Linked DNA regions of Daphnia pulex. Each later gene encodes a partner of the first gene's protein in a complex. Links are inferred from orthologs where the notes say so. Each region holds a gene or a part of one and is shown on either strand. Other genes may lie near its edges.

The links.
Region 2: vacuolar protein sorting-associated protein 54-like (region 1) and vacuolar protein sorting-associated protein 52 homolog share a complex: the UniProt entries of both Caenorhabditis elegans proteins name them as parts of the golgi-associated retrograde protein (GARP) complex. The link is inferred for Daphnia pulex from reciprocal best matches to the Caenorhabditis elegans genes vps-54 and vps-52.

What each region holds. Positions count from the first base shown.
Region 1 is NC_060017.1:2,978,021-2,982,439, forward strand, and holds the start of vacuolar protein sorting-associated protein 54-like, read right to left. Parts: upstream 2,820-4,419; 5' UTR 2,714-2,819; exon of another isoform or gene 2,648-2,713; 5' UTR 2,539-2,647; coding exon 2,414-2,538; intron 2,340-2,413; coding exon 2,176-2,339; intron 2,117-2,175; coding exon 1,769-2,116; intron 1,699-1,768; coding exon 1,351-1,698; intron 1,289-1,350; coding exon 899-1,288; intron 838-898; coding exon 593-837; intron 535-592; coding exon 289-534; intron 225-288; coding exon 1-224. Other genes in the region: protein bicaudal C-like, read right to left, coding at 3,150-3,211, 3,314-3,433, 3,517-3,618, 3,704-3,817, 3,903-4,016, 4,082-4,247, 4,312-4,352, 4,412-4,419. UniProt on the Caenorhabditis elegans protein: Acts as a component of the GARP complex that is involved in retrograde transport from early and late endosomes to the trans-Golgi network (TGN). The GARP complex facilitates tethering as well as SNARE complex assembly at the Golgi.
Region 2 is NC_060027.1:4,799,395-4,803,686, reverse strand, and holds the start of vacuolar protein sorting-associated protein 52 homolog, read right to left. Parts: upstream 2,871-4,292; 5' UTR 2,855-2,870; coding exon 2,720-2,854; intron 2,668-2,719; coding exon 2,399-2,667; intron 2,331-2,398; coding exon 2,216-2,330; intron 2,131-2,215; coding exon 1,994-2,130; intron 1,930-1,993; coding exon 1,827-1,929; intron 1,737-1,826; coding exon 1,559-1,736; intron 1,489-1,558; coding exon 1,235-1,488; intron 1,164-1,234; coding exon 1,009-1,163; intron 946-1,008; coding exon 855-945; intron 797-854; coding exon 748-796; intron 682-747; coding exon 506-681; intron 432-505; coding exon 254-431; intron 166-253; coding exon 1-165. Other genes in the region: DIS3-like exonuclease 2, read left to right, coding at 3,493-3,612, 3,682-3,735, 3,814-4,236. UniProt on the Caenorhabditis elegans protein: Acts as a component of the GARP complex that is involved in retrograde transport from early and late endosomes to the trans-Golgi network (TGN). The GARP complex facilitates tethering as well as SNARE complex assembly at the Golgi.

The DNA of each region.
Region 1 (4,419 bases):
ACCACGTACGACTCGCCTCTTACTATAATCGTTTCTGAAACAGGGTGGCTTTTGAATGGGGCGGCAGTAGCATCACTAGGTCTAGGTGAACGGAAAAAGGTGTCAACATTTGCTTGGATATCCGGTGTTATTTCGGCCTGCCTCCAGCGTTCACTGTCCAAGACAGCACCCAATTTAGAACGACGTTCTTCGTGGAATTTTTGAACGAAACGCGTAGCTTGACCCTTTGGAACAAACAAACAAAACGTGTTGTTATTCAGCATTACAAACACGAAATTTTATTATTACCTGAAATGCTAATCTCAAACCCATGGATTTGTGTCCACTTATATTGTGACAATCCAACACGAAAGTCTCTATAAGTTTTGCCAGAGCCACAAATTCCTGGGAAGAAACCCTTTCTAATAAAGCACCATCTTTGGTACGCGATGATAAAAGACGTCCGCACTGATCATGTGCAGAATCACAAAGTGACTGTATCATTTCTTTTAATGACTGCTGTAGTCTCTGTCTATCATCTTCAGTTACCACAACCTGCAATATCAAAAATGATTCAGTCATTTGTTTAAATGATGTCCGAAAAGAAAAATACCTCTTCTTGACGGCTTGTTTCCGTGGCAAGTACAAGGGCCATGATGTCATGAATGGCACGAATGCGGTTGAGCAGAGCTTTCAAACTTGTCATACATCGCTGCATCAAATTGGTCCATGACACAAAGTTTAAATGCTTGAGCTGCTCGTAGAGCATAGAACCTCTTTCAACGTCGGTGTCGTTGGCTGCAAGAGCTTCTACAATAGTTTGTTTCATCAAGGCTTTCATGGCGGTCAATCCTTCATCTAAAATGGAAAAATGATTATCAGTCACATCGGCACTAGCAAAAAGTGCATCAAGCAGTACCTTTAAATAATTCAATGAAGTTATAACGCCTCTGTCGTAACATGCCGTAGAGAACAGCAGTCAATCTATCTTCTTCTGTAACTAATACATCTTCTTTGAGGGGTCGATTAAGTTCGGCGGTAGTGAGGCGTTCAAACTCGTTTGAAAGCAAATTTTCGATAAGATTCTCCATTTCTTTCAACTGCGAGCTCAGATAACGGAAACAGTGAATGCTCATCAGTTCTTGTTGTACGACCTCTTGTGTGGTCCCAATAAGATCCAACGCGCCGACGAAATCAGAAGTAGAGAGGAGAAGCTGTATAGTCGGCTGGGTTTGATGCACAGTCGCCATTAGTTTTAGTTTACGATAAACAATTGCATAATTCTGTCGAGCAACTTGCCGTTGTAATACTGAGAGGAATTAAAGAAAAATGGAATAAATTCAATAATTAGATTAATGATATTGAACACACCTTTCAACGACCCCTGAACATGCGTAGCATCAACATGATTGACTTTGAGTCTTAAGGCTTTAACCGCCGTCAGCGCTTTGCCTAATTCCTCCCGTACGGCATCATGCGAAGCAACAGCCTGGAAGAAGTCTTCCGATTTATGGGAAATTTGATGAGCTATTTGCATCTCTATCAAGTCCAAATAATAGCTCAGTTTTTCTTGGAGTGTTTTCCCCGTTCCCAAAACGTGCGATAATCCTGACTCTTTGATGAAGGGGAAAACTTTGTGAAAGGTATCTGGTTGGCTTAGGTTAAATGTAGGCTGCAAGAAAGTTTGTGGAATAACACTCAAGTCACCCTCATTTCCATCTGTTCAAAACAAAAAGTTTGGTTAAAATATTTCTTCAAATAAAAGGATTTACTGAATTAATTGGATTACCAATGGGTTTCAGTGTTGATCTTGTTGTAATTTGTTCAGTTGCTAATGTTACACTGGACTTTTTCGAAGACTTTTTGTATCTTTTGGAAATTTTCTTAAGGTATGGTGTGAAATAAGCTTCATCAACAATGGGTAGTAGGAGACTTTCAGGAATAGTAGTGTTTTCTACAAATCCATCCCCCCATGTTCTAGTAAAGAAATCCTTCTGTTTCCCTTTTTTTGGATCATTTAAAATTGCTGCCATGTTTTGGCAAGCTGCATTGACATTCCAAGCTGGCCCATCTGACAGCAAGCTTAATCTATAGAGATGCCCTTGAAGCGGAGAAGGTGTCATCCCACACAAAATGCCTGTGTAGCACATAACAGTTTATTAAATTGTTATCACATTTATAATGCAGAAAATGTACCTGCATCTTTTCCATCCTGTGTTTTAGCATGGTGTTTCATTACATGGTCTTCGTAGTCTCTATCGCTCACCCCTTCAACTGGTAATGATGTACATACTCCATTATAGCCATACCGACAAACAAATGAGCCACCTTCCTGACTACAATGATCATCTCTCAAGTGTCTAAGATTTATTACAAAACAAGGTTAGAAATAAAAGTACTTAATTATAACTTGCTGAAATGAATTGTATTGTACCTTGTAAATTCTGCTGATGTTTTGAATATTTTGTTAAGACAATAACTACAACTTCTCCATGTTGGTGAATTACTCCCACTCGATAATAAGCTTATAGAGTCGGTGTTTGTTTTTGAAACGGCCATAACAGATTGAGTGCTGAAGAAAGTACACGGAAGTGAAACTTGATCAATCGATTTACTTCAATCAAAACGTAAACCACCGGCATTTGTGAACCATAATTAATTTAATCTCCTTGAAGAATTCAACAGAAATTTCTCTTAAGAAATAAGGGAAACCTATTTAACAATAAAAAATAACCTTTTTGATCGTTTAATATTTTTCTGTCGTCAGCATTTGCCAACAGGCCAAGGTTGATGCTAACCGACATCCAAACCTTCGCTGTCTATTCGAGTGTTTCCGGGCACCGAGTCCACCATTAGCAATAAAATCAATCAGAATAGTGTGAAACTTTTATGAAAATGTTTCGTGTTTATTATATATGATAATCGTCTGGATATACAAGAGGTTGCAGCATGAAAATTCAATGAAAAACGTTAACTTGACTCATGATAGAATCAAGGGCGGAAAAGCATTTTTTCCTCCGAATTACAGTCAAACAAATTAATAAAAAAAAGGGCTTGCACAACGGCGCATAAAACGTGAGAGAATAGTTATAAAAAACTATTGCAGTCCGAAAGGAATCAGGATACAGATGTTCTGTGTCAAAACTAGTAAAACCGTCGCATGGTGAAATTTACAACTGACAAAATTGCGAGTTTTCTTCAACGGCACAGCTAATTGGCAAGTTCTTCAGTTCTTAAAAGAAAAAGAAACATTAAAAAAGCGAACAAGATTTTAAAGAATAATAATTTAAAAAAAAACCCGAAGAGATGATCTTTTTAAATTCAACCAAGTCACCTGATATTGCATGCAGCATCAATTTTCGTGGGCGGTATGCGGTTACTCCGATGCTTTTCAGATCATCATCAGACAGTGTAGTGAACATGGCCAGATCCACCTCATTTGCAAGAAATAGTTCTAATTTTAAAGCAATTTAATAGGACATATGATATTTGAGATTTTAAAATTTTTCGATTGTTCATCATAATATTCCAACTAACCACAATATTCGAATAGATCTGATTCTTTCAGCATCTGGCATAGTTGGCGATATGAGTTTTTGTCAAATTTTAAAGTGCAGGCCGGCATCTTCACACTTTCGTCTGTGAAGTAAACAACACACGTGAAAACCAAATGAGATAAAAAAAAATTTCAAATTATTAAGAAATAGTCTCGAAGATGACCCACTAGATGGTAGCAAAGGTTTTGAGTGTGCTCTTTGACCGCCCGATTGGTAAACCTCTTCAGTGGTTTCACGGAAGCGAGGTTGTTGTATAACAGTTCGACTCCCAACTGCTGGAACTTCAAAGGATCAAGTCGAAGGATAGAATTTTTCCACCTCATTATTAGTTAGACCCTAAAATACTTAAAAATGTAAACTCCTTACGAAAAGTACGTTCGGGTTCTTGAACTCTGGGTAAGCTGAGCGGGAATCCGATGGGGGATAGTCCGTTGGGATTGGGAAGACGTAGGATTTGTCTCCGGAATTCATAAATGTTGCCTGTAGACCAACAGTCACAAACTAAATGATGGGAGACTGGGCTAACGGTTGTGTAGCATACATACCTGCATTCTTTTCGTAACTGATGATCTGAAGCAGAAAGCTGCTCGGTTTGGTGCTCGGTTCCATCTTGACCGCCACGTCCAAACGTTTAGCCAACTTTCGCTCGTTGACACCAAAGGTCAAATGAATAGCATGGACATGAAACATCAGCTTCATAGGAAGAAATTCCTAAACAGGAAAAAAACAACATGTAAATCCATAATAATCATGCGGGTAAATAAAAGTGATTTACCATCAGGGCCATTTTAGTTTGATAGACACCATCCACAGAGCCTATCGAATTTTTAAATTTGATTCATAAAAATTGGTTAATAAAACAGTGATTGGATTACCTCTTATC
Region 2 (4,292 bases), on another chromosome or scaffold:
TTTTTTGGAAACGGTGGTAGTATTCGACGAGTTGAGTCAACGTCGCTTGTAGAATGTTGGTTCCGTTTTTGAAATTCGGAAACAGATTTAAGATTTCTTTATTAATCTCGTCCAAAGATTTCTTCCATCCAGCCATGAAAGCGTTTATGGTTTGCGTGGCCCGACCTTTAAGCCGATTAAAGAGAAACGGAACAATTCTATATATCGAGAGACAAAACTAATAATAAAATTAAAGACTTTAAAAAATGCATACGTTCTTCGTTCCGCAACGCTTCGTTAAGCCCTCGAGTAAGCATGACTTCGCAGTCTTTGACGAATCGGACGAGTCCCTCAAAATGGAAAAAAAGAATTTCTTCGACAAATTCTGAAATTCTAGCAGACAGCAATTCCTTACACCGAGCGGCTTCACGACTTTCTTCTCGGTTGCGCTCCTTAATAAATAGACAACAAGTTTTAATACATAAGCTGAGAAACTCGGTAAAATACTAAAATCTAGTTATATTACGGTCATCACACTCAGCATCAGGTCGTAGTTGTTGATTAGGGCTACTAATTGATCCTTTCGTTTAGTAAAGGCTGCAGCAAGGCGCAACGTGAAGCCTTCAACCTCCTCTTGCATGGTCGAAAGTAAATGGTGTAGGCGTGGAGTCCAGTCCATGGCTGAAGTTATACTGTTATGCTCTTTTTATACAAAATAAAGAAAATTACGACACAAGAATTAATGCAATAGGAAAAAAAGTGTTTAACCGTGAATCGCAGAAATGGCTGAAGTATACTCGGCGTATCGTCGCACTACCTATTAATGTTTTTTCGTTAGTTTAGAAATTTAATCAAAGTATGTTTAAGGTAAATACATAGTGTGGTCGCGTATCAATGTTTGAATAAAGTCTAGATGGATCGCAGTCACGGACACTCTGAATGTTTGCTTGTACCAAATATTCAAATCTAAGAAATATGGCAAATATTAAAGAAAAAAGTCAACAAATCATTTAAATTTAACAGTATTACCTAGGCCATAACGTGGAGACGAGAGATTCGTAATAAAAATCTAAAGCTGGAACGGCTCTCTTGTGGCAAAGATATTGCAAACGTTGGACCATTTGGATGCAAAGAAAAAGGGCAAGTGAGTCATAACAAGACGAAACATATTCTTCCACAAATTTCTAAAAAGAAAAAAAAAACAAATGACGCTAGAAAGGAATAATATGCTGCGCATTGTGTATAGTAAACTTACCATATAAATAGTGCAGGTCTTCCCCATTACTTCTTGAAATAGCTCCATGGCAGGGGCTCTTTCAACGTGGAAAAATTCACAGAGGAACAAATACTCGCGGCAAGCATTATCGGCCAATGCGTAGTGTTGAGATCGGAAAACGATTTCATACGAATATTTCGTTTCACCTTTATGGCCAGCGCTGGTACCAGTGGCAGCTGCGTGAGGAACTAGAACAGGGGCTTCTAAGTTTGTAACAACTTCAATTCGAGTTCCTATTATTTTAAAAAAAGAAGACAGCAAAAAATAAGCAAATATATTGCAAGAAAGAATTTTTGGGGTTACCTAAGGTAAAAACCGTAGATTTACTGCTAGAACTACGCCCACTAGGAGCGGCTCTTCCAAACAAGGACCTTGCGGCGGCAGCAGCAGCCGCACCTAACGATGCATCTTCGGAAGCAAGAACATCATCTTTATTAACACTATTTGAATCCACAAGTTTCAGTAATCGCGTGGAGTAGCTCTAGAACAAGAAACAATTGAGAATATAGACGAAAAAATCATAATTTATATCCAAACAAATTATTATTATTTCTTAAATCAAAACACGAACCTTAAAATAAGAGAAATATAGCTTTGACATTGTCTGCACATAGTCTTGCCTCACTTCATAAGCTATTTCAGGCTCTTGGGTTATGAGAAAGTGGTAAAAATTCCTAGTGAAACAAAACATAAATGTGAATTGTATTTGGAATCCAGAAAGAAAACCCAGAGGCTTACTTGTGTTTTAGAAGAGAATTCTGTGGTAGTTGATAATTAGCAAGTGGCCTTCTAAGTTGTTGTAGTTTCAAAAGCAGAAACTGCCTAAGTCTTTCAACCACCTTAATCCTTAATGCACCTAGGACAGGAACCACATCCTTAAAATGCATAAAATATTAGGTAGAAAATATTAGACATTTTTTTTAAATCACAAACTCAAACTATATGGTTAGGCCTACTCACTTGAGCAGCTCTACTGCACCTCTGATGGTGATCACCACTCAAAGCCAACTTTGCTTGAAGTATTATCAACTGTTCAGAGAACGAAGGCTCTGTCACTGGAGTTTCAAGTAGATGTCTATTCAAGAATGTTAAATTTTTAAAAATTACAACACATAGACAAATAGATGTACTTTGTAATTTTACCTTATCAGGGCTTCAGGAATTACCAAATCATCAATTATTTGTCCTGCCAAGGATCTAGCTGCCTGTCGATTAGACAAACGTAATCCCAACTGAGCTGATTGGTGCTGGAGTTGTAAAATATCACTGCTTAAACCACCTAGTTGAGATCTGAAGGTACTTAGAAGCACTTCCATTCTTTCAAGAGCGACATCACATTGGGTGAACTGTGAATGAAGCTGTGCTAATGATGTTCCCTGATTGACATAATCTTGCACAGACACTAGTTCAACCTGGAAAGAGGAAGTTGGTTAGCTGAACTCATAACATGTCAAAAATGTATACCTCTTGTAATTGTTGTTCTACTTGTTGTGAATACTGTCTCAAATCTACACCCGAATTCAGAGCTTCTTTTATTATGCTGTCCTTGAGACTAACTTTTAAATCCATTTTTATCTGAGAGTCGCAATGATCTTCCATGGCTGTTAAATGTTTTTAATCAGCTTTAACGGCTTTAACCGAAATCTGACACAAACTTGTTATTGCGGCTTGTCTGGAATCGTGACGAAATCTCTCAGCTGTTTGCAGACGACCAATATCGTCTGCTTGTTGTCAAAGAGATTGTGCAAGAGTAAGATGCAAAAATTGTGAATATCTCCCAGAGATTAGGGTTTCCATTAAAGTTATCTTTCTCATTTGAAAATATTAGCGTCAGCCGAATATCCCTGAATTTCGAAACTTTTATTTTTTTTACTCAAATTTGAAGCAACGATTGAAGTCTAGATAGTACGGCTATTTTTTGCACGACAAGAGTGAGAATCTTTGCTCATTGCATGCTTCCAAGAAAGTAAAACATTTTGTGGAAGAGTTTTCGTCAACTGTTAATCAGGTTGTAATCTGACGAGTGTTGAGATTTATTATGACTTTCAAACCTCTGACAAAGGTTTTAACTCAATATTTTTAGCACTGGTCAGTAACCAGTTTATAAGGGTTCCAACAGAGGGAAAGCAATAACTGACATTTGTATACTGATCTGCCAATTTGCATTTATTCCTACATTTTCTTAATTACATTGATGATAAGTTCTATACATAATCTGCCCATACAAGAAATTAATCATGGCAAAGTCAATTGGTAAAAACTCCACACCACAGAGACCCAATCGTAGTAAAACTTTTGAAAATTATTGGGACCAAAAGGATGTTGAAGAAGGATTACGGAATGAGTCCCTTTTTGAAGTAGGTTTTGGTTATATTCAGAATTAATTGATGTAATGTTTTAACTGTCTGTGTTTGTTGTATTTATAGGGTGTTTTAAGAATCAATCCTAAAAACTATAAAGAGGCATACATTTCTGCACCTGTAAGTATTGCTTGCAAATTTGTTTTCACAAGTTTTGATATTCAAAAGAACTAACTGAACAAATCTCAATGGTATTAGGATGGAACCGAAGATTTTCTGATTGAAGGAATTTTGCACAGAAACAGAGCACTTAATGGAGATATTGTTGTTTGTGAGATGCTGCCAACACAAACTGCAAACAAAGAATGTGAAAAAAGTTTTGCTGAGAGTCCGAGTTCACCAAACATTCAGCAAAACGAACAGCCTATTACTCCAAAAAATTTGGCTGCAGCCAGTGAACTCAAAGAAAATATTTCAAAAGTGACTGAAAAGGAAGTTCAGTGTGTGGATGCAGATTTAGCCGCTTCACGTGAAGTTAGGGGCGCGAAAACCCTGGGACCAAAAAATAGGAAAAAGCCGAAGAAATTGATGGAAAATGTTTCAAATTTAAATCTTGGTGCAGAATTGCAAGACAAAAGCGGTCTAAAAACCCCTTCAACAATGGCCGAAAATGTAACTAACGTAAATACTTTATTTTTTTTTATGTACTTGAAGATAATAACTTAGAAACTCATTGC